Mus musculus: one gene and its partner. The protein of the gene in region 1 interacts with the protein of each later gene in a biochemical or structural test. Links are inferred from orthologs where the notes say so. Each region holds a gene or a part of one and is shown in the gene's direction. Other genes may lie near its edges.

Region 1 (15,903 bases):
CATATTTTTTTTAAGGCAATGAATTTCCAAGGGAGGTTAAAGTATCTTCATGGACAGAACAAGAAAGGGAAGGACGGAGCGCTGCTTCCTCCACAACTGGCTTTGTTTGCAATAGCTACTCCACTTCAGCCACCCTCCATCCTGGAAATTCGAACCAAAAACTTCATCTTCAGGACCAAACACAAGCTAGACTTCACACCTATTGGTTGTGATGCCAAGTAAGGGAACTTTTTCACTCATAATTCTTCAAGAATTAATGCATCTTTTTTATTTTAGCAGATTTGTAAGTGTGTGAGATGTGGTATAGGTTCTAATGTTACTACTATAGGGTCAGTTAATCAATTTGACAAATAATCTGACTGTTTTGTATTATTTACTGCACATGGTTTATTTTACATTTTGTAAAAATATTTCTTAATTTTTAGCTTCAGAGATTAGATAACCATCTAAAGTTAATTAGTTAACTAAAAAGAATTTATATAAAAGCATTTTAATTTTCCCACCTTTTAGAATAAATGACAGACCCTGTCTCTAAAGTACAGTCTGAGCCAGCCATGTTTTTAGCTTTTGAATTCATTTTACGTTTAAGTTAACTATGCCAGATTCATTTTTGACCTTCTTAATATTAATGGCCTTATTCAAAGTTAAGAAAAAAGACTAAAATTGAAAATTAGTAGCCATAAGCAAGAAAATTTAAAAAAAAAACTAAAAGGATGTTTTCTATATACTAATGTGAACATTTTGAATGTTGTGGAAATCGCATACCACCAGTGAATGTTTCTTGATTATTTTACAATCTGATTCTTTTATTTGAACAGAGGGCAGCTTATTCTGGGCTATACAGAAGTAGAGCTGTGCACAAGAGGATCGGGGTACCAGTTCATCCATGCTGCAGACATACTTCACTGTGCAGAATCCCACATCCGCAGTGAGTTGGAATTCTTGTGACCCGCCTGATATACGGCACATGTATTAGAACATATTAAGCTTTTTAAAAATCCTTTGATTCCTGTGTGTGCATGTGGGGGCCAGGAGCCAACCTGTAGGAGGGAATTCTCTTTGCCTTTGTGCGTCCCTAGGATCAACCTCAGTTAGTCAGGCTTGGTGGCAAGCACCTATAGCCACGGAGGCATCTCCCAGCACTGTGATACACATTTCAAAGTGTTGTGTGTGATGACATCATCTGAGAACTACTTGGATCCATCCCGTTGGAGTCATGCTGCCTTGGTTAACCAGTTTTGCTTTTTACTTCTAATTCCTCTACAGCTGCTATGCAGTAATGGTTACAATATGATTATTATGAAAGTAACTATGTTGGCCAGTGGATTTTTGCTCAGGAAGTCTTTAAAGGCACCATGCATATATGTTAATATAAAATCGGGAAATACTAAAAATATTCCTCATTTAACATGAATATGTTTACTTCTCCTCCAAGCTAACCTCTTCTTACACCTGACATGCTCTCAGTATTTCTCTTAACCTTTTACATATTAAGCCTTATCTAAAATGGAAAAGCACAGACTCCGAGGAACCATTTCTGTGCCTTTCAGTGTGTTTAGTGTGTTTAAAAGTTTTCAAGATATTGTCACAGCTGGTGGTTAATGGAATTCATATGGAAATATGTCAAGATGGCTTTTAAAAAGATATTTGTTTTTATGTTTTAATTGTGTATGTACATTTGTCTGTGTGGGAGTTTGCGAGCACCAGTACAGGTGAACTTGGGTGCCAGGAGAGGACATCAGGTTCCCTGGGACTTGTTTACTGGAGGTAGTGAGTCACCCAGTGTGCCCACTGGGAAACAAACTCAGGTCTTTTGCAAGAGCATCAAGTTCCTGTAGCCAGCAAGTGAGCCTCACCTTAGCCCCACAGCGGCACTTGGTTGCAGGGATGTACTGTACTGTACTGTATTGTACTGTACTGATGGAGGGTTTGGTGACCTTGTTGTAAATGTTTACTTGTAGTGATTAAGACTGGAGAAAGTGGCATGACAGTTTTCCGGCTTCTTGCAAAACACAGTCGCTGGAGGTGGGTCCAGTCCAATGCACGCTTGATTTACAGAAATGGAAGACCAGATTACATCATCGCCACTCAGAGACCACTGACGTAAGCATCAGAAAAAGAACATGTCCTGCGTTTGTGTTTTCATAAGTCTTCTTACATGAAAGTTGAAAAAGAATCCTAAGGCAATGGAACCTGTAACTAAAAATGGAAAAATTATCTAGAAAGAGCAGGACAAAGATGAAAAATGTTGAAAAAAAAAGACAAAAGTGATAAGCTTTATCAAGCAGCTAAGTAGATGAAGCTAAAAATGCCCAACTCATCCTGCAGTTGAGGAGATGAAAGACAATGTCATCTCAAAAATAAAAGGAAAACTATAGCACTTGTTTACAGTAGGTTCACAGCAATTTGGAAGCTTTTCACAGATTCCAGAAAGGAATCTTTGGTGAAATATTAATTGCTTTTTAGGAGTTAGGTAGAGCTAAGCATCCTGACTGGTTTTCTCCTTCCTTTTGACTATCAAGTTAGCCAACAGAATTTGTTAAGGAGACAAACCCTTGACAGAGTCTGAGCACTGCACTGCCTGTCAGGCTTCTATATGTGGTCCTGTTTCTAGAGCTATGGGCTGGTCACTGCCATTTCTAGAGCTGCTGGCCGGTCACTGCCATTTCTAGAGCTGCTGGCTGTCCACTGCTGTTGCCTTATGGGTCATCACACAGCCCTAATTGTGCTATCTTTATATTGTGAATACATGTCTTTTTTTGTTGTTGTTTTTGGATACATTTTGTTCTCGTTCATAATTGTCTTGGCTCTTCTTTACTCTTTATGTTTCCAAATGTACTTTAAAACTCATTTATTAAAGACTAAATCCCCAACAACAACAACAACAAAAAACACTGTTGGGATTTTGAAGACATAACTCTTTCAAGAAAGAATTAACATTTGCACAGAACTGAGTCATTAACCCATAACCATAGTGAATGTTTATATTACCCATAGGGGATGTATGCTTCATAAAACCATTGATTGTTACAGCTGACAGACCTCTGATGTCACCAGTGTCTTCCAGGCGTAGACATTTCATTTATTGATTTGCTGTTGTCCATTTCTTTTGTATTCCATTTATGTCTCCTAGTTATTATTTTATTTAGGTATATTTCTATTTTGGTATTTATATGTTTTTCCTATATAGTTTTCACTCCACTTGCATAACACTAGTCATGAGAATAATTTAGTTCAAAATAAAATCCATGTTCCTTGCTATCAAGCTCAGCTTTAGTGCGTTTTACCTTTTCTTCCTTTTAGAAATATCTTACTTAAATCATGTATGATCAAACTCTAATGTATTCAGACCTTCTTGCCTACCCTGTTAGGGATGAAGAAGGACGAGAGCATTTACAGAAGCGAAGTACGTCGCTGCCCTTCATGTTTGCTACCGGAGAGGCTGTGTTGTACGAGATCTCCAGCCCTTTCTCTCCCATAATGGATCCCCTACCAATACGCACCAAAAGCAACACTAGCAGGAAAGACTGGGCTCCCCAGTCAACCCCAAGTAAGGATTCTTTCCACCCCAGTTCTCTTATGAGTGCCCTCATCCAGCAGGATGAGTCCATCTATCTGTGTCCTCCTTCAAGCCCTGCGCTGTTAGACAGCCATTTTCTCATGGGCTCCGTGAGCAAGTGCGGGAGTTGGCAAGACAGCTTTGCGGCCGCAGGAAGTGAGGCTGCGCTGAAACATGAGCAAATTGGCCATGCTCAGGACGTGAACCTTGCACTCTCTGGCGGCCCCTCAGAGCTCTTTCCGGATAATAAAAATAATGACTTGTACAGCATCATGAGGAACCTTGGGATTGATTTTGAAGATATCAGAAGCATGCAGAACGAGGAGTTCTTCAGAACTGACTCCACCGCTGCTGGTGAGGTTGACTTCAAAGACATCGACATAACGGACGAAATCCTGACCTACGTGCAGGATTCCCTGAACAATTCAACTTTGCTGAACTCGGCTTGCCAGCAGCAGCCTGTGACTCAGCACCTAAGCTGTATGCTGCAGGAGCGCCTGCAACTAGAGCAACAGCAACAGCTTCAGCAGCCCCCGCCGCAGGCTCTGGAGCCCCAGCAGCAGCTGTGTCAGATGGTGTGCCCCCAGCAAGATCTGGGTCCGAAGCACACGCAAATCAACGGCACGTTTGCAAGTTGGAACCCCACCCCTCCCGTGTCTTTCAACTGTCCCCAGCAGGAACTAAAGCACTATCAGCTCTTTTCCAGCTTACAGGGGACTGCTCAGGAATTTCCCTACAAACCAGAGGTGGACAGTGTGCCTTACACACAGAACTTTGCTCCCTGTAATCAGCCTCTGCTTCCAGAACATTCCAAGAGTGTGCAGTTGGACTTCCCTGGAAGGGATTTTGAACCGTCCCTGCATCCCACTACTTCTAATTTAGATTTTGTCAGTTGTTTACAAGTTCCTGAAAACCAAAGTCATGGGATAAACTCACAGTCCGCCATGGTCAGTCCTCAGGCATACTATGCTGGGGCCATGTCCATGTATCAGTGCCAGCCAGGGCCACAGCGCACCCCTGTGGACCAGACGCAGTACAGCTCTGAAATTCCAGGTTCTCAGGCATTCCTAAGCAAGGTAAGGGCTTTCGACAGCTGAAAAAACCTTGTAGGCCTAAGCATCTCTGTATTACACTTAAACATATCATCATAACCCATTTTAGATAGCAAGCAACTTCGGAACTGCTTTCGTTATATTTATGGTCACGTAATTAACTTCATTATAGTTTACTTAAAATAGTATGAATAATAAATTATTTTAAATAATTTTCTTAAAAGCAAGTTGATGTTTAGATAATTTAATAACTGTTCTTTGTTACCCCCTCAGGAGGATATCATGCTTATATTAATAAATTTCTCTTTACAAATATTAGCTTATTTGAAGATATACTGGTTTAGATTGTAAGAATATCTTGACTAACATGAAGTTTATTAAGTAACTATTCATGAGCTGTTTGAGTATAGCCATTTAAAAGTGTGGCTTAAATCACAGTCCTGGTTGCTTTTTAGATTGTGAGTGAATCTGCTGTGTCTGATTGTATGGGACTTTTTTTTTTTTGAATGGAGAATGAAGATGATAGTTTTGGTCAATCTTTTTCCTGAAAATTTTTAGGAAAAAGATTTCCTAAAAATTTTTAATAGTTATTATAAAGAAAATGGATTAACCATACTTTGGATATAATTTACTCATAAAAGAATAGAATATTAGTATTTGCCTCAAAGCGGTGTGTCTGAAGGACATTATAGAATATAGAGAGCATCCATGTGTGCAAACCTCCAAGGCTGATCCCTCAGATGCTGGAAATGGCCGCAGAGTGGGGCTGGCTATTGGGTAGTAACAGACAGATAGTGGGAGTAACTTCGGCTCTTCTACAACATAGCAGGATGACAGAAGTTCACAACAGTTCATTGCATGATTCAAAATCACTAGAAAAAAAGGAAATCAAAGGTTCTTCATGCAAATAACAGATGAGTGTTCACAGTGAAAGATAATTGCCTGATTTGCTTACACACTATATAGATGAATTGAAATGTCACATTGTAACCTGTTCATATGAGTAATTGTGCGGCAGTGAAAAAAATAACAACATTTCTAGCCTGGAGAGATGGCTTGGCAATTAACATTTGCTTACCCTTCTTGATCCCCAGCACCCACATGGGAGCTCAGAACAGTCCACAGTTTCCACTTCCAGGCACCCAGTGCTCTCTCTGCACCCTTGAGCACTGCATACTTGTGTTGCACATGCACGTGTGTGTGTGTGTGTGTGTGTGTGTGTGTGTGTGTGTGTGTGTATACATACAAACATACATCATGCAGGCAAAACAACTATACACATAATATTTTATTCTTAATTTATTATTTTTGAAATGAACCATAATTGTATTCCTTTTCTGTTTCCCTTTTTTTTCTACAACCTTTCCCATCTACCATGTTTGCTCTCTTTCAGTTTCTTGGCCTCTTTTCTTTCATTGCTCTGTGTGTGTGTGTGTTCCTAAATATTTAAATACAACCTGCACAGTCTGTATATTACCTGTAGGACAACCCTGAGCAGCAACTCAAAAGGGTTTTTCTCATGCCTGGTGTTGGGGCTGTAGAGTGAATTTGAAGACAGTCTGGAAAATGGTGAGACACAGAACAAAAGGTCAAGAGTATAGCTAGCTCAGTGGTCGAGCCGGGTTAGCATGCACAAGGCCCTTCACTGGACCTCCAGCACTACACAAGAAGTGAGTAATTTGAGGCAACTAAAGGGATAATTTTATGATTTTTATTTTAATCTCAGTTTATTTCATCAACTACACCACAATGTGAAGTTTCTGTAGACTATAACTGTTATATTCGTTCTTCACTGTTTTAGCAGTTCTGGATATGAGACTGGTAAGAAGGCAGGTGTCTTAGTTAGGGTGTGAGGAAACAGCGTGACCAAAAGCTGTCTGAGAAGAAAGAGTTTAAATCACTCACAGCTCCACATAACAGGTCATCATCAAAAGCAGTAGGGTCAGGACCTCAAGCAGGGCAGGAACCTGGAGGCAGAAGCTCATGCAGAGGCCATGGCAGAGTACTTTCTACTGGATTGCCTTCTATTGCTTGCTCAGCCTGCTTTCTTATAGAGCCACACAATAGGCTGAGCCTACATCAATCACTAATTAAGAAAATGCCCTACAGGCTTGCCTGCCTACAGCCAGATTAGTGGAGGCATTTTCTCAATTGAGGCTGTCTCCCCTCAGTGACCTTAGCCGAGTCAAGTTGACATAAAACTAGCCAAACAACTGACTCCTTGTCAACCTGACACAAAACATTTTTCAGACAGAACCTTTCCTTTCGCATTTATCCCCAAGATAGCACATTAATATTACTACCACAATATAAAACATAAATGACTTTAAAAGTCCCACAGTCTTTACAAATGTGAGCACATTAAAAGTTCAATCTCTTTGAAATAACCATTCTCTTTAAAAAATTGGTTTTGTTTGTTTGTTTTTAAAAAAAGCCTTCAGCCCGTGCTGGGGCTACAGTTTGATCTTTTCTCAATTGAGAAATTCCTCTCTGATGCAACTAGCTAACCAAGCATCTTTTTTATTTGGTAACTTGCAGAACAATTTATTAAACACATTTTACAAATAAATTGGATTAAGATCATACCTGTAGTGTAACATTGCAAGAATAGCAAGAAACATTTAAAATCCAGATCTGGGCAAAAGTGCTGGTGTCTGAAATGCTGTGTAGAAGTTCGGATAGAATCAGTTCACTGCCTCCAGGTTTTTGATTGGTTGTGGCAGGACTGAATAACCCTTTGACACCCCATGTCACATAATTTCCCATCAGGCCCCAAGGCAGACGAAGTGAGATAGTTGTAGCGTTCGCTGTACCATCTTTAAATTATCTTGTAGGACTAATGAGAAAACCTGATCTTCCAAAAGAAGTCAGTGTGTGAGCGTTTCCTCTGTGTGATTTGAATGACGAAAGACTTAGCCATGAGCATCATCAGTACAGGACTGTAAAGTGAAACAACCCATAGGTCTAACAGACTAAAAGTCGTTTTTAAGGTCTTCCTCAGATCCTAACAAGCTGCTGTGCTGTGTTTGTTCTCAGGTGCAGAGTTGAGGTGTTTTCAATGAAACCTATTCGTCCGACTTGAGCAGCATTGGCCACGCTGCTCAGACCACTGGCCATCTCCATCACCTGGCGGAAGCCCGGCCTCTTCCCGATATCACACCCGGTGGATTCCTGTAGCTCCCATGCCAGGATGAAATTCATTCAGGAACAGGATACCAGAACTGTGAGGGTTGGACATCAGTACACTTTCTCCAAAACAGATTTCGATTCTTGTGTTTAGAGAAGGAGTTTAAAACCCGTACCTGAGATGCTCCCTATACGATGGGAGAGCTCGGACGGAGCACATGGGAGGAGTTCAGGCACCTCAGAGTGCACAGTGTTTACTGTGAAAAATTCTCGGGTTCCCTGCTCAGTAACTTCAGCAGGAAAAACAGGGAGGTATTTGGAGCTTTGAACTTCTGGATTCTTGTTAGTATACCAAATACGGAGTTACAGGACTAACCGATTTCCTATATTTTTTAACCTCTGTTTTTGTCCCAGAAGTTAAAGTAAATGGTTTGGTGCTTTTCTCAAAAGAAAATCTCAATGCTTTCTTTCTGCACTGTTAATATAAGTGCCTCACTTTTTGTTGTTGTTGTTGTTGTTTTCTGATTTTTTTCTTTTTTTCTATCTACCTGTAACACAATAGGGTATGTATTTTATATGAAATATTTTTTATCTTTTTTGAATTAATATTCTTTCTGCACAAAGAAAGTTTCCCGAATCCCAACCTTTCTATGACCCCGCTGTGTGTGTGCACTACTCATCCTTTCCTTCAGATAAAGAGTAATTGATAACTCAAAGTCCACTATTTATTGTGTAATATACCTGCTTCTGGCCGTTAGATGTTCCTCTGTGCCTTATGTTGAAAAATTTGAAAAATAACATGTTGCCCAAATTATTTAATTATTACATACTATTAGAGAGTAGCACTTGTATTTTAACCGTGTTTTCTGAGACGTGAGATAACGCTGCTGCTGAAGGTTTCCCAGAAACCTCCACGATGAGATCAGAAGGCCACCGTAGAAAGTGCTAAAGGTGCCTATGTCCACTACGCTGCAGTGAGGGGAGGTGGCGTGTGTCAAGCCTGTTAGCTATATTAAGCAGAGCACTCATTTCACTCTGTCTAAATTATCTTTGAAAAACTGTCTGTAATCCTGTTTGTGATATTGACTTTATAAATTCCACTTCTTATACTAGTGGAAGCTATTCATTTTTCTCATATTTGAGGAGTGTTAAGATGGAAGATGCCATGTCAGGTGCAAGGTGTTTTAATGACTGAAATGAATGGTGCATTGTATAAACATAACGAACAAAATAATCTGTAAAATATTCGCAGTTTTCATTTAAGAATAGTTCTTACCTCATATGCATTTTTTCAGTGTATCTTGTAAAGAAATCAAGTAGTAAATTGAAGCTTTTACGTTGGCATTAAGATAAAGATAAATACAATTTGTTCACCTCCATACCTTAAGTTGTTTATGTGATACACCCTTTGCTGCCAATATGGCAAATGTGTCACTCTGCCAAATGCACTGTTCTCAAACGGCTTAAAGAAAAAATGCTGGTGTCTGCCATTGTCTCTGTTCTTGCTTAGATATGATATATGAAGGATGTGGTCCTGGATCTGTTTTTCATATGTTATATAAAAAGCTGATGAGATCCCAAACTGAGATGTATTCAAATCCAGAAGTGGTTCTCAACCTGTGCTCTGTGGCTCCCGTGGGAGATAGACTGACCCTTTCACAGGGGTCCCCTAAGACCATTGGAAAACACAGATATTTGCATCACAATTTATAACAGTAGGGAAATTACAGTTTTAAAGTAGCAATGAAAATAATTTTATGGTTGGGGTCCTGAGCAACTGTATTCAAGGGTCACAGCATTAGAAAGGTTGAGATCCACTGAAATGTTGACTCTTCTTTTTTTCTTTTAGAAAATTAATGTATGTAAACATGCCTTTGGGAAAAAGATCTCTTCTATGCATTTTCAGTCAAAATTCTGAATCTCTAGGATTAAGCATTGAAAAACAACTGTCTAAAACATTTCACAATTTTTTTCCAGCATGAGGTGTCACCAAGGATTTAGACTGGTGGTCTGAATTAGTATCCCACTTTTCTATGTAAACTTTTCATTAAAAGTTGTCATAGAAACCATTTTGTCAGTCTCTTCTGCATGTTACCAAATATTCAGTTAAAAAAAAGAAGACAACTTTGGACACTGAGAGTATGGTGGCATTTAATTACACACTTATCAAACTGAAAGTCTTAAAAACAATATTGTGTGTTCTTATCTATATAAAAATAGCTAAAACATCTAAGAATAATAAAATCACATTAAACTGCCTATTTGTTTGTCTGTATTGCCAAGTGCCAAATGGAAAGACCACTTAGAGCACCACTAGACTGAGGGATTAACTTCTAGATGAAATTCTAAGACTCTTGTGTATGTCTGATTGAAGTTCTTCTTTTCTAGGTGTTTCTTACAGCACCTGAACACTTAACCAATATGCCAGTGTATCAACTTTTCAATTGTTACTATGCACAAGCTAGTTTGAGTATCAATAGATCTTAGGTCTACATAGCTCCTTGCTGTCCTTTAAACTGTTACTTGCTTACATATGCCATGCATAGATTTTTGTTAAAGTATGATTTATAATGTCCTTAAATATCAAAGGAAATGTAAACAGTGATATATGATAATAAACTAACCACCAAATATAAATAGTGTTTTCATGCAAGTTTTTCTTTCTGTCTCTATAGAGAAAACAGAGCCCTGTACCATTATATGATGGTTAGGCAAAAGTAGTCTTTATAGAAAGACCAATACACCAAGTCTTTCATGAAAGGGTTACTTAAATTCTCTGTTTGAGCTATTTGATCTGAGCAAACTCAAGCTGACAAGTGATCTGTAGTCCCCAGCCACTAGTGTGATTATGTTGGCAGCCACACAAGACAGTAAAGTTGTACAGTGTACCACACCACTGATGTTCACTCTTGTGATGTGATATGTGCACATCAGAACAGTCTACATCACATCTCTTACTGTATATCACTGAATACATGACTACAATCATGTATTCATTCTGATCTCTGTGCACACTCAGTCCAATGGCTTCCTTAATTACAAATGATTCCAGTTTACCACATCGTACCAAGACTGCTAACGCAAGGGTGTTGGCTACTCCAAGGAAGTGGCTGGTAGTTATGATTTCTGTCTTAACACTCTGCAGATGATCTTGCTTCCAACTTCCCAGTGCTTCTCTGTACCTTCATCTCTTCAATACTACCATTCCTAGACTTCACCTTTCCTGGAGTATATAGGAGGAGAGGTTTCAAGACCTTGAGGTAAACACCCATCTTCTTTGTACTTCACAGTTAAAGATACTTATCCCCTCACACCGTCTCCTCAGCCCTTTCAGCTCTGCAGCCTCCACTCGCACCCTCTTTTCATCTCCAATCTTGTTAAATCTTGGTTCTGGTTTTGGTTCTTTATACGCTCATCCATTCTACAGCTCTTGCCTTTGTGAGGAATACCCTCAAGGTTGAGCTCACTATGAGTGCCCTTCATCACCTCTTTGAGTGTAAGATACGTGACTTCCAAATAACAGCACATAAAGATGGAAAAACGATTCATAAAAAATTACACACTTAGAGATGAAGAAACTGAGACCAAAGATTTAAAGTGACCTCACATCGTTTGTTTAGGTGATCTGGAGGGAACAAAGTACACTGACTGATACAGGGCAGAGCAGCTGACTGTCCCTGCACAAGTGCATTGCTCTATCTTCCCATTCCACCTGATGCATCATTTAGTTTATCTCATTTACATCCCATGAGGTCAATTTAATTATTCCATTTTTATAAAGGACTAAACTATATTTTTAAAAAGCAACTGAAATCTTCAAATGGTTATACACAGAATAGTTTGTATTTTTTAAGAACCCATGTGTATGTTAATTTGGTGGCAAGGGACATTCTGTAGATGTTACTGTACAGTCCAGGACCTAGAAATGACAAGATGCTATAGATTGGATCGAAAATGTCCTCTATATCTCTTGTTGGAGGCTTGGCCACTAGCTTATGATCTATTGAGAGGGGATGGAGCCTTTAAATAATAGTATACCATGGGAGGATACTGGACACCAAGGGTGTATCCTGAGAAGAGATTTTGAGACCAAACCCTTCCCCTCTTTTTCTGTATTTCCTGAGTCCAGTAAAGTGAGCAAAACTCTTTTACCTTAGTTCCTTCAAAATGTGCTGGGCAGTAACATGGCCAAGAAACCATGGACGAAAATCATGGAAACCACAGCTTATTCCTTCTCTCTTAAGAGAAGGCTGACACAGGGGCTGCCCTGGATTACTGGGGAGGCTCAGTGCAATCATCAAAAAGTTCTTGCAAGAGGAAGGTTGGAGAGTCAGAAGGGAGGGAGAACAGAACGGAGGACAGCAGAAGGATTTGAAGACACTATGGTGATAATGCAAGAAGGGCCAAGAAGCTAGAAAAGGGAAGGAAGTAATGTCTTCCGATGTCTTGATTCCAGAGTAGCAAGCATCCTCTAGTTTAGGGTTTTCAACCTGTGGATTGTGACCCCTTTGAGGGTTGAAGGACAACCCTTTCAAGGAAGTCATATCTTGCATATTAAATGCTTACATTATGAATTCATAACAATAAAAATACAGTCATGAAGTAGTAATGAAAATCTGGTTGGGGGACACCACAGCATGAGGAACTAGGTTAAAGGACTACAGCATGAGGAAGGTTGAGAATTTCTGCTCTAGTTCTATTAAGAAGATATTTGGGCTCTTGCCTTCCTGCTCCCTGTCTGTCCTCTTGCCCATCTCCCCCTCCCCTCCCCCAACTCTCCATGTGCCCATTGCTGGCCTCTATTTCTCTATTCTCCCTCTCTCTCTGACTTTTTCTGCCTCTACTACCCTCTTAGCTCCCCTCCCCATGCCCTAAATAAACTCTATTCTATACTTTAAAAAAATATATATATGAGATACTTGTATTGTCCTATGCCAATTAATGCAGTAATTCATTATTGTAGCCATTAGAAATCAGCACAAATGTTTAGATTTTAAGGAATGATGCTTCTGGAGTGGAAAGATCTCCGTTTGCACATCTTTCTATACGAAGTGTTGTTCTGAGCATTCTCCCAGGCTGCAGCTCAGAGAACAGCCAGGAGGGCTTGGCACCATTCCTATGGCTCCTCCCACCTTTAAGTCCCTCTGGACCAAGAAAAAGAGAGTCTACTTTATGAGTGACACACTGGTGCCTGGTTGGCTCCAAACTTGCCTCGGTGCAAGGACATGTGGAAGAGCACACTGCAGTCTTGCTTTCTCCAGATGTTTGCCTCATGTTGGGAATCAGGAAATGTGTGTGTTGCTCACAGCCTCACATATGTTTCTAAGGAAGTGTCTTAATAATGTGTCTACTGGTTGCAAATCACCATACAAATTGGCCTGATTCCTAGAAGAAAAACGGCTTTCCTGAAGTGGGCTAGACATTATACCCGCACTGCTGTGTATACATTGTCAAGTAGTTCTTTTCATTAAAATTAACACACCTATTTTGAGGGTAGAAAGAGTACTTTTTTCAAACTTCTCTCAGGATATTATCACTTTATAGGGTTCAAGGGAAGCCCATTAAATGAGAAAAAGCCACAAAGCTGTTAAAATACTGTCCATTACAAACACCTTGCCTGATATTTGTGCAACGCCTTCTGTGCACAGAGTTTTCAACTCATATTGGATCTAGTTTGATTATTATACAATACGGAGAGTTGATTGTCCAGCAGTTTTCTATTTAGTGTTTTGAAGCCATGGTTGACCATGGGTAACAGAGCCACAAAATACAAACCTTTAGTGCATGCTGCTTGATTTCAGAGTGGGTGTCTGTGCTAGGACACAGTCAGATTTGAACCACTGAGTCAAATACATGCTTTTAGAGTTCCCCTCTACACTAGATTTTACACTAGATCCAGCTCAGGTTTTCTTGTGCATATCAAGGAATGAGCCCTCTATCAGATGGACAAGAGGCTACAATGAAAGCTAATGTTTAACTGAAGTGCTCTTTTTAATATAAAAAAAAAAGTGTTAAAAACAGATCTTGGCTACCTCGGAAAGTTTCAGGTATCTGTTCTTGATTCAAATAAAGTGTGGAGTTAAGGATACCCCACTGAGTATTCAAACCAGGCATGCTTTTCCTGCGTTCATCTAGAAACCAGTCTGTGCCTCTGCACAAAGAACACTCATAAACTTTCTGAGTATTATCAACAAAGAGACCTGAACTGCAGAATGAACATTGAAAGAGACTGGAATTTCTCAGTTTAAAACAAGAGTGTTAGAACATTTGGATAATAAATTATTTATGTCCCTTGAATTATCAAAGGGCATGCGCGTGCATCCCCTTCTCCAGGGTTCAGGCAACATCCCAAATAAAGGACAGAAAGGATGGGAGAGCTAGAAGATGGGAAGAAGTGTGGTGTAGTGCTGTCTGCTTAACATGCTGGATACTGTGTTTGTGAGCTCCTAGCAGCTGTGGCCACCTGCACAAGATCAAGCCAGTCAGCAGGGCAGCATGCACGGGGCTCAAGCGTCACCTCTAGCTGAGTAGCTGCTGGTGGGGACTCATGGAAGAGCAGTCTTTTTTCTTTAGGGATATGGTTGCTGGGAGGTTGCCCATGGCCGTTGGATTGCTAACCAGACTCAGTAGGTTATTAAATTATAAAATGGACTTAAACATGAGAGGAGGGACTATTAAAGGAGCCCCAGGGAAGTGAGAAGGAAGGTTGGCCTTGGGAACGAACATGGTACATTATGCTGAGACATGAATAAAAGTAAATAAAAGTATTCAAAGATACAAAAATAAAAGTGTATTTCAAACAGGAGATTACTAACAGACGTCATAGTTTAGAAAGAAGCGCCCACATCGAGGCGACTCTGCTGCTTTCGGTTTGTAAACTTTCAGTAGGTTTGGGGGATGCTGGGGACTCCTTCCTTCCATTTAATATTTGTCTGGGGTAAATGTAAAAGAATACTCTTTAGGCTGAAGAGTGTGCAAGAGCTTTGTGTTAATGTCCACTGTTTTGCTTGCCCTGACATTCTTCATAATGACATGTCTTGGTGACTTTAATCTCAACCACATTTTGAGTCACTGTCTTCAGAATCTATCTACAAAGTGGTTTCTAAAGTTCTGTTTCCAAACGTGAGTCGAGTGAGATGTCAACAGGGAGGTCAGAGAAAACCTGGGCAGATAAGAAATTGATCAGATTCCTTTGCTGTTATGGTTTGTGTATACTCAGCCCAGGGAGTGGCACTATTAGAAGGTGTGGCCCTGTTGGAGTAGGTGTGATCTTGAGTAGGTGTGTCACTGTAGGTGTGGGCTTTAAAACCCTCATCCTAGCTGCCTGAAAGTCAGTATTCTGCTAGCAGCCTCCAGATGAAGATGTAGAACTCTTAGTTCCTCCTGCATAATGCCAGCTTGGATGCTGCTATGTTCCCAATTTGATGATACTGGACTGAATCTCTGAACCTATAAGCCAGCCCCAATTAAATGTTGTCCCTTATAAGAGTTGCCTTGGTCATGGTGTCTGTTCCCAGCAGTAAAACCCCAATGAAGACATTGGCTAAACATCTTTAATGTGCTAATGTATATAGTAATTTTCCAAACAATTGCTGTGTAGTGTGTTTCCAACTTGACTCCAGAACTGTTTTCACAAAACCTTTCTCATTTAGCTAGTGTTCCAAAGAAAGTGCATTAACAAAGTCTGGCTTGTGGGGAGAAGTCACAGGCTCATTCTTGTGTTTCCTTGTGACTCGGAGTCTGCATCTTCAGATGTAACACATCGGCTGTATCTTCCTATCTTACAGGAATGCACCATGCCCCCACCAGCACTCACAGGCATGGGAATTTGTTCTCCTCTGCCTCCATCTCCCAAACAAGTTTTTCTCCTTGTGAAGACCTTAACATTCTTCCCACACCTGAAGTACTTGCTATGGCCTGTGTTCCAGATCATCTGTAAATATAGCCCCAAGGTTTCTTTTTCTTTCTCAAACTTGATTATCAAAATACTCTTCATCATTCAGCTATGCTGTGTTGGCCATCTGCAGAAAATTTCACTAACTTTGTTTTTAAGACATTTTAAGCCTTAAGTTTTCAGAGAGTCTGTGTGAAAAGTGGCTTGAGACACATGACTGTTTACTGTAACGATCACATTTAAACCTTTCAGATAAGACCCATATGCTTTTG
Region 2 (16,840 bases), on another chromosome or scaffold:
TCCCCCCCCCCATGCCCTAAGCTCATGTATGCAGAGATGCAGTCCTATGTAAGCTCAGCTAGCTGCCACAGGCGTGTATTCGCTTCTGGAGCAAAGGCATTTGTGTTGCTCCCGTAGTTTCTTTCCATTAAGAGCGATTAGATGATGTCTATTCAAAGTTGCTGATCCAGAGAGAAAATAAGAGTAGATAAAAGGAGATTTCAAGTGACCGCCTCATCCCTTTCACATCAACCTGAGCCCCAGAATAGCCTAGGATCAACTAACACAAAAGCCCTTTGCTTTCTCCTTTCAGCTGCAGAAGACTTCATGCAAAGGGTTAACAATAAAACATAAAACTACCCTGAGTTTTTTTTTTTTTTTTTTTTTTTTTTAGGCCATGCATTTGGAATACTTTATTAACTCCTTCTGTGGATGGGGACATGGATTTTTCTACCTCTAAACCAGGTAAATAAAACATACATCTCCTAACATAACATAGGGTATAATTTCTTACTTTTCTGTATGGTTTGTATCAGAGGTGGACTATATTCATCATTTTTCATTTAAACTTTACAGGAACCCTTCCCCCCTCAAAGATGGAGGACACTGTAATAAACATGTCTTTCTACTGACAGTTTAGAAGGAAATATTAGCTTTACCACTTTGATCCATTTTCTGGTAGGTAAATACAACCGCAGTATAACTGCAGTTAGTAGATTTGCTGGGCTTTTCCCAGTCACTAGTTTGTATCATAGTCAGTGAAGAAAAGAGCATTAGAGATTTAAACATGGTCAAGCAGTCTTTAGTCAGTAAAATGTCCAGCTTAGCTTTACCTCTGATGGGCTAATCCTGTAGTAAAAGAAATAGGTACTCTGACAGGTAAGTATTAGGGAAATGATTATTACAGCACAGCTGATTGTATTGTCAGGATAGTCTAACAACCTTTAAACTCATTTCAAAACTTCAACTTTTCATCTAAATCAACCCGTTTTCTCTGGAAAGAATAGCCATGTAGTTATTCTTCAGTCAAGTCCAGCATTTAAAAATAAAAGAATATGTACTGTAACATAAAAAGCCAACCTTCTTTCTCTTTTTTGCAAATGATCTTATATAGTCAAGACTTGGTTCTTTAAAAAGGTAAATATTTGCCTCTGTCTTCACTGATGTACTGGAAATGACTGTTGCTTTCCCTCTCAGTTTGCATCGAAAGGTCAGCTCTTGCCTTATTCTCCTGCTATCTGTCCTCCCACCCCTAAGGTTGTTAATCCTGGGCCCTCTAACCTGAAGCTCAGGAACAATGGAGGCATCTCTCTTATCTTTTTCCAAAATGTGTTTTATAAATGTCTTGGTTTGAGTTGGACAACTAAAACACTAAGTTGAAGTTCTTATCTCTGAGCTTGTTTTACTCAAAGGTGACAAAGAAGAAAAGCCTAGACTACCAGAATAACAGTGGGTATGGAAGCCTGCAAGTTCTGGGCCTCATTGAAGCCTATGGGCAGTTAGGTTGCCCTACTCAGGCCAGCAGAAGCCCACATCCTAAACTGCCCTTTCCACTCTGGCTTACATGTTGACATAGTCATATTTTTTACAGTTGGTCAGCTATCATGCTGACTGAGTTCAATCTTGGGACTGGGGGAGAGATTTAGGATCTAGCCTGAGGCTCTTGGCTGGCAATCCTGTACCCATTCACTGTTCCCTCAAAGATCTGTTCACTATCATGTTAAATGCATCTTCTTTAACTGTATTCTCCCTGGCTTTAATCTCATGCCAAGGGAGACTAATTGTTTTGATACCTTTAAAACAAGCTCTCTGGGGAAAATCTGTATCAAGATCAGAGGACCTGACCTTTCTCTCAGAGTTTGCAAGCTTGTTCATCACTCCACATGAGCTTGAGAAGGGTGCTATTTCTGTCCTGTGGTTTCTCTAAACAGAATAATACTGTTTGAACGACTTAAGGGTATGGAAGTGGTGTACCAGAGAATTTTCTGTAATATGACCATTGGTAGGTTTCAGTGTCTCTTTAGCTAGATTTATGAAATGTCTTTACAAAGCTACTTTTTTTTTCAGTGTGACTTAACAATAACCTAAAATGCATGATCTGGTGTCATTCTATAAAGCAAACTGCAAATGTGAAAGAGACCAAAGGATTAGTGAAGAATAGGTTAGCCTTCTTCCTACCCTGTTAAAAATTGTATTTAAAAAGCTATGTAAATTGGGTAAAGAGACCATTTACATTCAGACTCTGGGGCTTGGATCATGAGTTCCTAGCATATGGAAAGCCACAGACTGCCCTCCCCTCAGATTCTCCCTTCTCCCACCAGCTATTTACCAGATGCCTAGCTGAGGGATCAAGTGTTGTGTGGCAAGCTTTTTTAAAAGGTGATTAACAGCCAACCACGATGCTAGAAGCTCATAAAGAATATAGTAAATTCACAGCTTAATTCCTCCACCCGAGCACTTTCTTTTTTGCACTGGACCCTGTGTGTTGAACAGGTCTGTGGGAACTAGGAAAGTAGAGGAAAATTATAAAAAAGAAGGCTATGGATCTGAGGTATTCCCCTGGTCTTCCCACAAGGCTCCTGGAGAAGTCAGAGCACCATGCCCCTGCTCTCTGCCTGCACTAACAAGACTCATACAGTGCTAAGGTTAGGGCCACAGTCTGGTCCAGTTGCCACTTTCAAACTCAATTTAACTTTCCCAGGGCTCTGACTGGTGCGAGGCAAACAGAGTGGATAGGGAGAAGGGAAGAAATTCAGAAAAGAAAACAGAAGAGGAAAGGGTGAAAATTGCAACTGCTTTTCCTAGTCCAGCAGCTGAGCGTGTGTGGGAATTCAGTTTGAGATCTCTGGTGCCCTTGGAAAAATTCGAGCATTTTCTCTTAGATGAACTACCTATCCAACAACAGATATTAGGACCAGTGACGAGTATAGCTGGTGACAAACCACAGCTTTAAGAAACAAAGCCAAAGCTCCACAAGACTTGAGCTGACCTCTGGATCTCTAGGGAAGCCATTTTGGTAGAGGCAGGACTGTGAACACATGTGGGTGTGCAATTGCTCTGAGCAACACAGAATCCCAGGAGATAGAGTCCTAAGTAGACCGAGTCCCATGGGTGGGTAAGGCCCTCTTCAAAAAGTCTCTGCTTCATGCTATCCCCATCACAAGAGACTGGGACACTTGACTCAAAAGTGCACAACCAATTCCCCTTTCGGAAAGCCTGAGGCTTCCCCTGCTGTGTGCAGCACCAACAAACAGCATCCCATCCCTGCTCCTAGAGCTAAGACTGAGAATTGCAATCTCTTTTCAGAGGAGCCGGCTGCTTCGCCCAAGGCCTGGAGAGGCAGACTTCTTCACTCTAGGGGTCAATCTAAGTCCCAGAGGCCTTTTTGCAAGTTTGGAAGCTTGGGGCGGGGTAGGAACCCAGGAAGGAGAAGCCACAGTGAGGATGTGTGGACGCCATCTCTCCCGCTGAGTCTCGGCTGGCCCAGCAGCTTTGTTGCGGGACTTGACCCCCGACTAGCCCTTCCAGGCAGGGCTGACTCATTCAAGAGCCCACCCAGCCCCCGGGCGCGGTCCCGCGTGTCCGTTCCCCACCCCCACCCGTTCCTAGCGAGCCCGCCCTGCGCGCCCTCTGACGCAAACGCGCGCCCCTGCCAGGCGCAGGGAAGGTGGGGGGTGGGGTGGGTGAGCGTTCCTGTTGGTTTTAATTGAAGCTCTTCCTTTCACACACACAACCTCGGTTCCCACTCCTGGGAGGCGACCCCCTCCCCGCCCCCAGCCCGCCTAGCCCAGCGAGTAGAATCTAGCTCTACTCTACCTCACAGCTCTGCACGGCCACCGAGGTTCTGTGCTTTGGAGAACCGCTGTCCCCTTTAATCCGCTGACACTATCGCCCACATCAAACGGGCAGCCATCGATTGCCTTATTTTATTCGGGGCGACCTCAGGCTGGCGACTGAGCGCGACTCGCGAAGTCCTGTCTGCGGCGCGGCTAGGCACAGGTGCCGAGGCCGGCGGGCTCCACGGCTTCTCCATCTCTGCAAGCTGCAGGCTGGCCGCGCGGAAGCTAAACTTGATGCAATCTCGGGTCCCCTGCCCACGTAGCGTTTCCCGCTCCGGGTGGGAGAGGTTAGTGAGAGGACCTGTTTTGGGTTTGGACTGATGGGCTGGCAAGGATCCTCTCCTCCAAGGAGGCGTACCTTCCAGGCCCGGACGAAAGTTCTCCGGGTCCTACCTGGGCTGCCTTGACTGTTTATCTAGGCTGGCGAGGACGAGTAACGATTGCCTTTCTACCTAGCCACGTTATCGAAGATTACAGACCCCAAGTTTCAAAACACACACACACACACACACACACACACACACACACACACACACGATTATCTTTGCGTTACTTGCCTGGTACGGCAGGGCTTGGCCGAGTCTCACTTCTGGTGCCCACCGTGTACAGCCCAGAGTCCGAGGGAGACTAGGCATGCAGACCCCGCACCCAGCAGGCCTCCGGTTCCCGGACGCTTGCTTTTTGCTTCCTCTCCCACTGTTTTGTGACTCTTCCCTCCCCCAGCCTCCCTTTCTCTGCTGCGTTCCGCTGCTCACTACTCCCTGTCTCTGATTGTTTGGGGAGTAAAATTTAGAATTTCTATATAAACAGCGCGCACACGCTCTCTCTCTCCTCTTTCCTTCCTTCCTTCCTTCCTTCCTTCCTTCCTTCCTCCCTCCCTCCCTCCCTCCCTCCCCCCTCCCTTCCTTCCCTCCTTTTTTTTATCATATCAATTTCACCTTTAAACGAACCGGAAGACTTGATCACGAATATTAGGGCTGAGAGGCTAAGGCCAGGAGCCCCTGCCACCCCATGTCCCGCCTCTCCATCATCTGCGTACAATGGGCCGCAGCACGCAGAATGCAGTCTCCATTATTCCAAATAGAAGGGCATACATAAGAAAGTCTTTATTCTGCTCTTTAAAAAAAATATATATCACTGGCCACTAAGTGGTAGATCCCAGAGACCAAAAAGCGCAAAGCGTGCCCCAAACACTCAGCGCTTTCTAAAGCCCTCACTAGTGAGATTTAAAGTGGGAACCAGTATTAATAGCCAAACCCTACCTCTTTCCATACAACTTGGCCATTTACTTCCACCTTTACCTTGGGGCGCTCGGAACGCTTGAGACAAACTTTTACGCTCTCCCTAGTTGAGGGCTGGTAAGAGGGACTCTCACTCCCACTCCCACTTCGGGTGGAGGCAGCCGTGGCTTTGTCACTCTGCCGCCCTGTGCCTGCCTGAGCCTGCGGATGAGAGCGATCTTAAAACGAGGGGGGTTGCGAGTGTGGGATTGGAGAATATGTAACTAATAGAAGTATCGTTTTCCCCAGTACCATCTTTCAAGGAAAAAAAAATTCCATTGAAAGAATTTTCAAAGTGCTGTCTTGGTTTGGAGAAAAGGCACTGGTTGCCAATGAGGAGGGGAGGAGGGACTCGGCTGCGTGCCGCCTGAGAGCGGCTCCCGTCCGCTAGGTGGCAGGCCGACCTAGCGATTCCTGCAAGGCCCGCGGCGGGACCCGCTCCTCCTGCCTACCCCTCCTTTTGCGACCAATCACCTTCGGGAATGGGGTCTCAGTCACACACACCCCAACACACACACACACACACACACACACACACACACACACACCACCACCACCACCACCACCACCACCACCACCACCACCACCACCACCACCACCACACAGCGAGTGAGAGACTCAGTCTCTTCCTCCTCCTCCTCCTCCTCCTCCTCTCCCCCTCCCCCTCCCCCTCCGTTTCCCACTTCTCGTCCCCTCCCCTCCTCCCCTCTCCCTCTTCCCCGTCTTCTCGTTCGTTCGTTTGCTCTTTTCCTGTGACTGACTTGTCCGCACTAACAGCCGCCCCACAACAATATGAGGAGTTACAAATGCTTTATTAATAATCATTGAAGCATTGTTTGGAGTTTGAGCATCCTGGGAATAAAAATGATGAAAAAGGAAAAAGAGGATTGATTGGAAAGTTTATTTTAAGATCATCTTTGGGATGAATAGGAATCATCGATTCGGATCGAATTTGTGGCAGTAGCTGCAGTTTCATGTGTGTGCTTTGTCGTAATTACGCCTCCGAAACTATGATATACTTCAGATTTTTAAATGAGGAGGCTTTTCATAATTATATAAAATGAGCGGGATACAGACTAAGATTATATTGAATGTGAACTAAGATTCTAAACCAAGTAGACTTCACAAATCATTAAAATGATGGAGTTTTTTTCCTCATTAATTTTTTTCTTAACGTTTTCAGTGCCACTCCTTACGCTCATAAAACCTAATTCTGAAAAGTTTTCATAAGATATACAGTAATTTCTTTCTCCTCGTTTTTTCCCATCACAACGCGTTCTCCCCTCATCATCCCTTTCCCCTCGTGTGTGTGTGTGTGTGTGTGTGTGTGTGTGTGTGTGTGTGACCATACACGACCCATACTAATCAGGTCTCAGAGTAAATAGCAGCGCAGGGCGATCTCAATGTAAATTATGCTTGTCAGAAGCACCCCCCCCCTCACTTTCTCTTCTCCTCCCCTCGACATCCCAGACTGTAGGTAGCTGGGGGGAGGGGAAAAGGACTTTCCAACCAATGGCGTGAAGGAGGCTTGGCTAACCTTAGCCTCCCATTTTCTCTCCCCCCCCCCACCCCCCATTCAGGGCTCTGACCAGTCAGTCGCCTTTGATTATCAGTTGCCAGCAGCCCTTCTCTTGGCTCCTTGACACGAGCTCCATATAAGGCAGAGATCTCCATAGAAACGTGTCAGTTTCAATAGTAGTGTCAAAGTTCACTATATACAGACATTCGCGCAGATCCCCCTTTCGGAAACATTGCTCTGAGTGTCCTCCCGTTTAAACGCATTCAATTTTTTGGTCCCTCTCCTCTCCTCTCCTCTCCTCTCCTCTCCTCTCCTCTCCTCTCCTCTCCTCTCCTCTCCTCTCCTCTCCTCTCCTCTCCTCTCGCCCCTCTCTCCCTCCTCTCCTTTCTCTCACCCACTCTCCTCTTGCCCTATCTCTCCCCCTTTCTTTTCCTTACATATTCTACTAGTTGTCGCCCTTCCTCTTTCTCTCCCTCCTTTTCTCTTTCACTCCTTTCCTCTAGAAGAGAGAAGACTAAACTTGAAAAAAAAAGGAGGAGGAGGCACCCCTCAGTATTCTTCTTATCGTTATTATATATATATATGTATGTATATATATATATATATATATGATTTTTTTTGGAGGGAGGGTGTTGGTTCCCAGCTGAAGAGCACTTATTTAAAATACTAAAAAAAGAACATTTTTGGGCGATCTCCAGGGTTTTTTAACTAGCTCTGTGTGTTATAGCAGAAGAAGCAGAAGAAGCAAGAAAGAGGAAAAGAAGAGGATTATTTATTCGACCTACTTTGGATGTCTCTCTCGCTTTCTCTTTTTCCTTATTTTCTCAAGCATTTTCTTCTGATTTTTATTTTTTTCCTATTTCGCTGTGAATTCGTCGCTGGCGTGAATTATCTCGTATTTTTCTCCCCCTTCCGTCACCTCCCGAAAGAAGAAGGCAGAGAGAACCCGGCGCCACCCGCACAACAAAAAGAGCAAAGTGTGTGATCTTCCTCGCCGGCTGCCTCCCGCTCTCCAGCGCTGCCTTCCTGAATGGCTGGCTGCGTCCGGCCCTGGACCTGGCCCCCAGACACCCGAGCGCCCTGATCCTCGCCGGCAGCTTCGTCCCGATCCTGCTCGACTCTCCCAGCTCCCCGCACTCTTGAAACCGGGCGAGGGCTCCCGCCAGGACAGCGGCGGCGGCACGGGCAGCACCGGCCTCGGCTCGCTCTCGGGCTGCGGCCCCGACTCCGGCTCGGACTCCCGCCCGGGCCCGGGCTCCTCCAGCGGAGCACGCAGCGGCGGCCAGCTCCTCCAGCAGCGTCTGCAGCCGCGACCTCCTCCTCCGCGGCCGCCGCCGCCCTCGCCGCTTCCTCTATGTCGGCTCAGCCCGCGCTCTGCGCGTAGCCCCAGCGGCCAGCGGCCAGCGGGCGGGCGGGCGGGCGGGCGGGCGCCCGGCGCGGGTGAGCGAGTGTGTGTGCGAGTGTGTGTGTGCGCGGGGGTGCGGGCGAGGCGGAGGGCGAGAGTGTGCGCGCGCCGTGGCCCATGCCCGCCGCCCCCGGCGCTGCGCCCCGCGCCGCTCCCGGCTGCCGCCTGTGCCATTTCTGATTTTGCAAGTTGGGGAAGAAGAAAAAAGCGAGAGAAGGGAGCTCGCTCGCTGGGGGGTGGGGAGGGGGGAGAGAGAGAGAGGCCCCCCCAGGAACGGAGTGCGGGGGGAGCGGGCGAGGGGAGCAGGGGTGTTGGGGGGGGGGAGCCTGAGAGCCTGGGGGGGCTGCAAAAAGAGAGAAAGAAAACAGCAGGAACCACAACAAAACGCCAGCAGGGCGGGCGGGCGCGCAGCAGCAGCGGGGCGGCTGAGGCAGTAACGGCGGCGGCGGCGGCGGCGGCGCAGGCAGAGGCCGGTGCCCGGCTCGGGCTCGGCTCCGGCGACCCCGGGGCGCCCGGTGGGCCCCCCGCCCCCTCCCCCTCCCCCCTTCCCCTTCCCCTTCCCCTCCCAGCGCGCCCGCGCGCCCCGCGGCCCTCGGCGAGCAGCTCGGCTCCCCCCAGCGCTCCCTGGGCCCAAAGATATGGCAATGGTAGTTAGCAGCTGGCGAGATCCGCAGGACGACGTGGCCGGGGGCAACCCCGGCGGCCCCAACCCCGCAGCGCAGGCAGCCCGCGGCGGCGGCGGCGGCGAGCAGCAGCAGGCGGGCTCCGGCGCGCCGCACACGCCGCAGACCCCGGGCCAGCCCGGAGCGCCCGCCACCCCCGGCACGGCAGGGGACAAGGGCCAGGGCCCGCCCGGTTCAGGCCAGAGCCAGCAGCACATCGAGTGCGTGGTGTGCGGGGACAAGTCGAGCGGCAAGCACTACGGCCAATTCACCTGCGAGGGCTGCAAAAGTTTCTTCAAGAGGAGCGTCCGCAGGAACTTAACTTACACATGCCGTGCCAACAGGAACTGTCCCATCGACCAGCACCACCGCAACCAGTGCCAATACTGCCGCCTCAAGAAGTGCCTCAAAGTGGGCATGAGGCGGGAAGGTGAATATTTCTTCTCTGCTTCTCTCCCTGCGCTTCGCCCGCCTCCCTGCTCTTTCTTTCTCTCTCGCCTTGGTGCCTGTGGCTGTGGGGATGGGGCTTCTGTGGTCCCAGCCGGTCCGGGCTTCCCAGTCTTCGCTGCTTTCCTCCCCCAGCGTCCCCCCCCCCCCAGCTCGCTGCCGCTGCCTCCCCCTCCCGCCCTGCGCTCCTCTCCCCGGCTCCTCCACCCCGCCCGCTGCCTGCTCAAGATTGTGTCCCTGGGATCGTGAGCTGTAGCTTAAAAATCCCTCCCTTCCTCTGTTGGATGTGCTCCGTGTGTGTCTCGTTCCCGCTTGTGTGTGAGGATGCTTGGGGCTGTGCTAGCATGAACTTGGGAGGGGTGATGATTTTCTGCAGAAAACCGTTTCTCTCCGTGTGTGTTTTTGTTTTTTGGTTTTTTTTGTTTTTCCCATTCTACTTTCTCCTCTGCCTCATCGTACCTTTTATTTATAATGGGAGAGGACTGGGGCTGGAGGACCCTGAACCATAGATTCATTGCTGCCACCATCCTTTAGGAAGCTTAGCTTGGAAAAAGAGGAGTGAGATTTATTGCACTTGTAGGTCTAATTAGGGGGGAAGGGGGGCTTCTGGCCTGTTCACTGGCTCCCTCTCCTCTTCAGGGATCTGGGGCCGCCTCCTCCCGAGCTGTGGCCTTGTTTTCACCCCTATACTTTGAAAGGAAAGTTTGTGACTGAACCCTGCTTTCATAGTAGTGTCATTTTTAAAGCTTGATACTCGTTTTATTTCTTCATCAAACTCCACCCTCTGCTTAAATACTGCATACAAATTACAATTTACAACGGCATTTACCGATCCTTCTGATCTGGCTATAATGCACAGACTGCAGCTGGCTTGAGCTTCTGCATCATTTAATCGATGTGTGAGATTTTTTTTTTATTAAGCACAACTTTTGATGTTTAATTTGGATATGCTTCATATTCATGTGGCATGAGATGGAACACTTTTCTTACAAATATATTTAGCGGTTTATAGTTAAAGTTTATCTCCTGGCAATCATTAAACATATCTTATAGTCAAATTAGTGAACCAGTCAATTTCGAAGAACATAGATTACTTCTTCTTGTAATTGACTTCAAAATTATATTTTATATGCCACAAGAAAAGAAATTGAATTCCTTCAGATCTCAAGGAGAAGGCAAATATGACGACTCCATTGCTAGCTCCAGGGAGATTGTTTAGGCATCTGAAAAAAAAAAAAACAAAAAACAAAAAAAAACAAAAAAACTTTGAATTGTGCTCTCATTTAATTGAAAAATAACTGCCAAGTTCAAAACTATAATTAGAAAAAGTATTCTAACCATTGTGTTTCAAAGAGCGTAAACCGCACTGAAACTCTTGTTGGAATTAGAACCAAAGAAAATGATGTAGAGCCTGAGGTAGGACAGCTCTGTGGACATGGACCTCGCTCTACTAATTTGTTGGGGGATGGCAGTTCAGTAGCCCTAACTTTCCCTAGAGTTGTCTTTGTTTACATGGCAATTGAAAATGCTGGCACTGTTGAAGTAAAACATACACATTTAAAAAAAAAAAAAAAAAACTTTGGTCAGCTTTAAGAACTCAATGCATGCTTACGTTTTGCATTCAGATGGGTAATGAATCCAGTGTTTTTGCAGTTGCAAGCTCGCGCATTCACTGGGCAAAGCTGGCTGCAGGTTGCAGTGGCATCGCACAGGACAGACATTAATTGTAGTTCCTACTTTTTTTCAATATGTTTGGCTACTGTAAGTTCAACTTCTTTGAAATTTTTTAATTTTCTGTTTCTTTTAATAGTGAGAAATTTGTATGGGGCAGTCTGGAGGAGGGAAGATGGGAGGAGGTGTGTGTTATGCTTGCTGGTAGTCCAACTCAGTAAGATATATATATATAACTTGTATCTTTTAAAAATTATTCTGTAGCACTTTAGAGATTATGGGAACATTTTATACACTTGCTGCTTGTTTACAAGTGAAGAGTACTCTAAGGTTTGTGGCTTTCTCAGGTTTCATTTTTAAAAGAGAAACTTTGATTTGTATCATTCTGAAAGGATTTCATTTATATCTGTGTTGCTTCTTAGTAGCTGGGAGGTTGGGTGGTACTTTCTTAGCCATCCTGAGCTAGGGGCCTTGCAGTCAGGCCTAGTTCTTCTTCTCTAGCTAAAATAGCCAGGGATGCAGACTATGGATGGACACACGGAGCCGGTGAAGGTAGATGACTTCACCCTAGATCTCCTAGCAGTGTGATCTGTGAGTAAGACCCAGCAAGCAGGAGAAGATGCTTCGGGAGCGAGTGACTGCAGGAAAGAACCACAGTGCGTTGGGTGCGCGCTGCGGCTCGGCGATGTTCACAAGCCCCCCTGGATGCACATTGCCTCTTTTCTCTCTTTCTTTTTATCAGCGGTTCAGCGAGGAAGAATGCCTCCAACCCAGCCCAATCCAGGCCAGTATGCACTCACAAACGGGGATCCTCTCAATGGCCACTGCTACCTGTCTGGCTACATTTCTCTGCTGCTGCGCGCAGAGCCCTACCCCACGTCGCGTTATGGCAGCCAGTGCATGCAGCCCAACAACATCATGGGCATCGAGAACATCTGCGAGCTGGCAGCCCGCCTCCTCTTCAGCGCCGTCGAGTGGGCCCGCAACATCCCGTTCTTCCCGGATCTGCAGATCACGGACCAGGTGTCTCTGCTGCGCCTCACCTGGAGCGAGCTGTTCGTGCTCAACGCGGCCCAGTGCTCCATGCCCCTGCACGTGGCGCCGCTGCTGGCCGCAGCCGGCCTGCACGCCTCGCCCATGTCCGCGGACCGCGTCGTGGCCTTCATGGACCACATCCGCATCTTTCAGGAACAGGTGGAGAAGCTCAAGGCGCTGCACGTCGACTCTGCCGAGTACAGCTGCCTCAAAGCCATCGTGCTATTCACGTCAGGTGAGGATGCGGTCGCGAGGAGGGCAGACTGTGCGGGGAGCTGGTGGGCATGGCGAGGCGAGTCCCTGGCATCCTGCAGCTCCCGCACCGCCGCTGTCGCTGTGAGGCCGGGCGCTCAAGCCACCTTGGGCCTGCCCAGGGTCTGCAGCCCGGGTATGTGGTTGTCGCCGACCGCGCCGCTGCCATCTTGGGAGCGTAGTGGTGCTTGGAGCGGAGGAAGCTCAGTGAGGCCAGCGGCCTGGCCTGATGGATGGCCTGGACCCAGCGCGCCCCGAGAGTGAGGCGACTGTGTGTCTAGGGAGGCAGGGCATTGTGGATCGTCTAGCTTCTGTGTGTGAACTCTCTGTGTGCGTGTGCGTGTGCGTGTGCGTGTGTGTGTGTGTGTGTGTGTGCGCGCGCGCGTGTGAGTGTGTGTGTGTGTGTGTGTGTGTGTGTGTGTGTACAAGAGCTCGGTGTTTCTGTGGGAGGAACGATACAGAAGGAAGAAGAGAACGTGGGAAGGTGGCTTCCTAGTCTGTGTGGCACACTCCTTGGATGAGTTTCCCGACAGAGAGACACAGACAGAGGCGGAAAGGGAAGAATACGCACAAATAAATCATAAATAATCTCGCTTTATTGCTGCTTGATTTTCCCTTATCGGAAACCATTCATGTTTGCAGTTGCTGAGGTTATTGAGGGTCATAAAAAACGGATTCGATCTAAACAAGAAAGATAAAAAACAAAAGCAATACTGTAAAACCCGCAAGCATGAGAGCACTCCGGGCCGGGAGATAAATTTCATAGCTATGCAAACACACAAACACTAGAAATTTAAAAGGATGCCTTAAAATATCAAATTAAGTGTAGGCGGTGGTAGCATGCATGTTAACAATCTCTCTTATGATAGATGGTTCAAATTAACTTCCAGGAAAGTGCATTAACGTTGCCTTTGAAGGGCTCTGGTCTAAGCCTGTGAGAACACTATCCGCTTTTTATTATTGGAACCTACAAGAGGGAACTATATACACACTAGGGACAGCAGGTAACAAGGAAATACAAACAAAGCCAGAAAGAACTCTGCTTGGGCAGAGCTGCTTAGATGGATCTTGGGCTTTGCTCACTATAAGCAAGGTTAGTTGCAATTTTACCACCGTTATTGACACTATTGTTTTTAATTCCTAGATTAGGAGAACAAATAAACCATTCTAATAAATCTATCCTAGTCAGGCCCTCCAAAAGCCAAATTAAAACCATTCATGAGTGGAGATGGCAAAACTCTTTTTCCCAAGGCCTTGTTAAAACAGGAAGCAGTGGGATAATCTATCAAGATTTTTCGACTTCCATGCATGGAGAGTCATATTTACATTGTATTAAAATGACACTAAAATTTGCACAATATTGTAATGTAGCAAATGTAGTATTAATATCGATCTGAGCAGCAGATAATTTATTTAGATAAGAGCAGCTCATTTGTATGCAAGGTGGCTAGAGCCTTGGACTTGCCCCCTCCCCTTTTACTTTCAGTGCAAATGCAGGTCTGCTTGTGAGAGAGAGAGTCATTCTTTGCAAGGGTTTTAAGTGCAAAACTTAAAACAAATGGAAGATTTATTGAATAGCTTCCTCCGACTTTGAATGCATTTTATCTTAACAAGTCTTCTTGATGGAAATGTGTTTTTCAAAAGTGACAAAGAGCCTGGGAAGCAGTGAGCAGGGTCCTTTGACTCTGGCAGGCCCAGGCCTGGCTGGTGCACTCCTACCCATCGTTTAGCCAAATCCACCAGGAAGGGAGCCAGTGTGGAGAAGCTAGGGTTGTAAAATCCCACCCAGTGAAGTATCTTAAAGCAGAAGTGTGTGCCGGGGAATTGTACAGAGGTTTTCTCAGCAAAGGTCTCCCTTCTCTTTTCCTTATGCGCCTAAAGTTCTCCAAATACCCTTTACTTTGCTGGTCTTGTGCCATTTCCCAGAGAAAGAGAGTGGGGGAAGGCAGGCCTAGGATTGTGTGGGCTGCAGGGAACATTGTGGAATTATGCACCTTCACTTTTAAACTTTCCATCCTAAAACATTCCTGTGAAAAGTCCCTTCACTTAAAAAAAAAAAAAGTTTTCCAAAGGAGTTTTTTTGAACCAAGTCTCCAAGGTGCAAGGGATGCTGAGACATGAATAGTAACATTATTTTGTTGGAAAATCGCAGACAGAATATCTGAAAATGGAAATAAACCTATCAGTAGTAATTCACCCCCCTTCACCCACCCCCTTCCATACAGCACATTTCCACTTTTGACTAAACTTGTTTTGATTGCTAGCCAGAAGGGACTTCATTGGAAGAAGAGAATTCACGGGAAGCCTTCCCTACGCCATCCAACTTTTAAGAAAACTTTGAATGATGGAAAAGACAGTTTTAGACATATTGTCCAATATGGCTTGCTCTGGCTAAGTATTTGAAGCTGGCATGAGCATCCCCCGTGGTGGTTTTCACATTTGGCCTCCGGATGGTGTGTTTAATCCTTAATATTCTGGACATCATCCAAAGACTAGGTCATGACCTGAACTTACTTTGAAAAAAAATTCTTTAATTCATACACCTAAATATCCCTTCAAATAAATGAGACTGGCTCTGAAAAGAACCATCTAGTTAACATAAATACAATAAATCCATTTTCTGCACAAGAATAACTTTGATTTCTAGTTATGGCAGCTGATTACATCTATATTTCCTGAACACTAAACTCTTCTGAATGCACAACATGAAATATATTCTCTGCTCTACAAAGGCTAAACCGGGAGGGCCTGAGCAGTAATGGTTATTTATTTACATAATTTCTTCTCCTTATACTGTAGAAGAAATATTAAAGGTTCTCACATTGACAATACCATATAAAAAGTGAGACATGGGTTTTCTATGTTCTGTCTCCTTTTCTTATCTGGAGTATAATCCATGGGGGCAAATATGTACTAAATTACACCCTTTGCTCACCTCTCTTTACCATCACAACCCACCAATTGATTCAAACACTCATTCTGTCTGTCTACAGATGGGAGAATCCTGCTACTGGGGGGGAATGATTAAGTAGTGTGTGGAGGTGGGCCTGAACTAGGACTCACAATGATAAAGGCCATGGGCATAGGTGACTGGGATGATAAAGACCACCAGGGATAGGTGACTGGTACTTGAAGGGGCAGCCTCAGTCTCAGGCATTCCATTTCAAAGGTAGAAGGGCCTGAAAGCAGCCAGTGTAGGGCCAAAGTGTACCTGTCTAGACTTCTCTTTGGAGTTGTTTAAAGAATGAGGAAGTGACTTACTCCAGGGGTCCTGATGTTTTACTGATTTAAGAAGATGTCATATAGATATTTAAGGGAACATCTCATGTTGTCTTTCTCATATTGTGTTGTGTGTGGCTAAGACTATCCCCTTGGTGTGAGGGACAGAAAATGTATGCAGTGCAAGATATATGTAAATACATCACACACAAGTCTGTGTGATGGCCATTCAGCAAGTTTAGGCTAGAAAATGGGTCCAAGGGCTGACCTAAGAGTCCCCTATCTATGTACTAATGCCTCAAAGATGTGCTCCTGTCCTGGTCTTGCTGGCCATAATAATCCCTGGCATCCCAACTCAGACCAGTGTGGATGCACTGCACCAGCTGGATGCAGTAATTAGACATCTGAGAGGAACCCAGTCTGGACCTGGGGTCAAAGGAGACTTGCCTCTGAAGTTCTTGAATTATATCACCAGTTTTATTTAAATATTTGCTTAAGGCCATACCCTTGTAGATGAAGGTGGCAGAGTGCTTTGTGAAGCCTAGTTCTTGGACTGATACACAAAATGGAAACAGCAGACATAGATTTCGCTTTGAATAATTTGTTGTTTTCTTAGGGTCACACTTCCCCATTATACAATGTTCTGTTACAGGTGTTGTCATACATAAATTCCTTCCCAGATGTATATATTAGCAAGCGCTGTCTTTGATCTCTAGCCAACCTCCTGACTGGCTAAGGGTTCCTCTGTGATCTTCCTGTTTTTAAAATACATCTTACTTGTATTAAGAAGTAACATAGGAAATGAGGGAGAAGGGCCACTGTTTCTCTGATTCCACGCTCCTCTCCCTTTGCTTGGCCCTGGTTAGTGGATATAGGATAATCTGCTGTCTTGAAGTATTTTTAGATGACCCAAAAGAACTTTGGTTGGTTTGAAATAACCACAAAGGTTTTCAGTTGCCATTATTGTATAAAGTGCCTTGTGTGCTTCTCCCTTGGCCCCTGCTGTAGGAATCCTGTCTCCCCACCACCACATGCCTCCCAATTCCCTACACCCCAGTTCTGAGACAGAAGCCTCAGCTGCCTAGCTTTGTGTCTGATTGCTGAAGATGTTCCCTTCTGCAGCCTGGAGTAACTGAGCCATATTCCTCCTGGTTATTATACAGCTTACAGAGATGTGACCAATTTTCAATTACATGATCTAAGAAAGATAGAAGTGTCCACTCTCACCGAGGAGGATTTGTTGCAGGGCTCTGTCCTGCATATATAGTTGATCTCCAATTCTATATTGGTATAGCACAGGCTTGATCTGGTTCTCGGTTCTGCCAGCTTGTGATCCCCGATCCCCTGCCACGTGTATTCACTACACAATCTAGGTTCTCCTTGAGCTTGCTGGTTGGGGTCAGCTGGGTTGGGGGTTGGCGGGGGTGGGGGGAGACTCGAAGAAGCCTTTAAAAACTGTTTCCAAGGCTGTATATTTCTTCAGGGGTTCCAAGCACCCCAAAATCAAGCAGGAAAGGGGCAAATGCTTTCCT

The links.
Region 2: the proteins of Ahr (region 1) and Nr2f1 form a complex in vitro, tested with the Homo sapiens proteins (2 studies listed by BioGRID). The link is inferred for Mus musculus from reciprocal best matches to the Homo sapiens genes AHR and NR2F1.

What each region holds. Positions count from the first base shown.
Region 1 is NC_000078.6:35,492,445-35,508,347, reverse strand, and holds the end of Ahr (aryl hydrocarbon receptor), read left to right. Parts: intron 1-15; coding exon 16-218; intron 219-818; coding exon 819-928; intron 929-1,961; coding exon 1,962-2,103; intron 2,104-3,371; coding exon 3,372-4,635; intron 4,636-7,647; coding exon 7,648-7,659; 3' UTR 7,660-10,369; downstream 10,370-15,903. UniProt on the Homo sapiens protein: Ligand-activated transcription factor that enables cells to adapt to changing conditions by sensing compounds from the environment, diet, microbiome and cellular metabolism, and which plays important roles in development, immunity and cancer.
Region 2 is NC_000079.6:78,190,394-78,207,233, reverse strand, and holds the start of Nr2f1 (COUP transcription factor 1), read left to right. Parts: upstream 1-8,360; 5' UTR 8,361-8,660; coding exon 8,661-9,114; exon of another isoform or gene 9,115-10,030; intron 10,031-10,784; exon of another isoform or gene 10,785-10,879; coding exon of another isoform or gene 10,880-10,892; intron 10,893-11,066; exon of another isoform or gene 11,067-11,132; intron 11,133-11,544; coding exon 11,545-12,072; intron 12,073-16,840. UniProt on the Homo sapiens protein: Coup (chicken ovalbumin upstream promoter) transcription factor binds to the ovalbumin promoter and, in conjunction with another protein (S300-II) stimulates initiation of transcription. Binds to both direct repeats and palindromes of the 5'-AGGTCA-3' motif.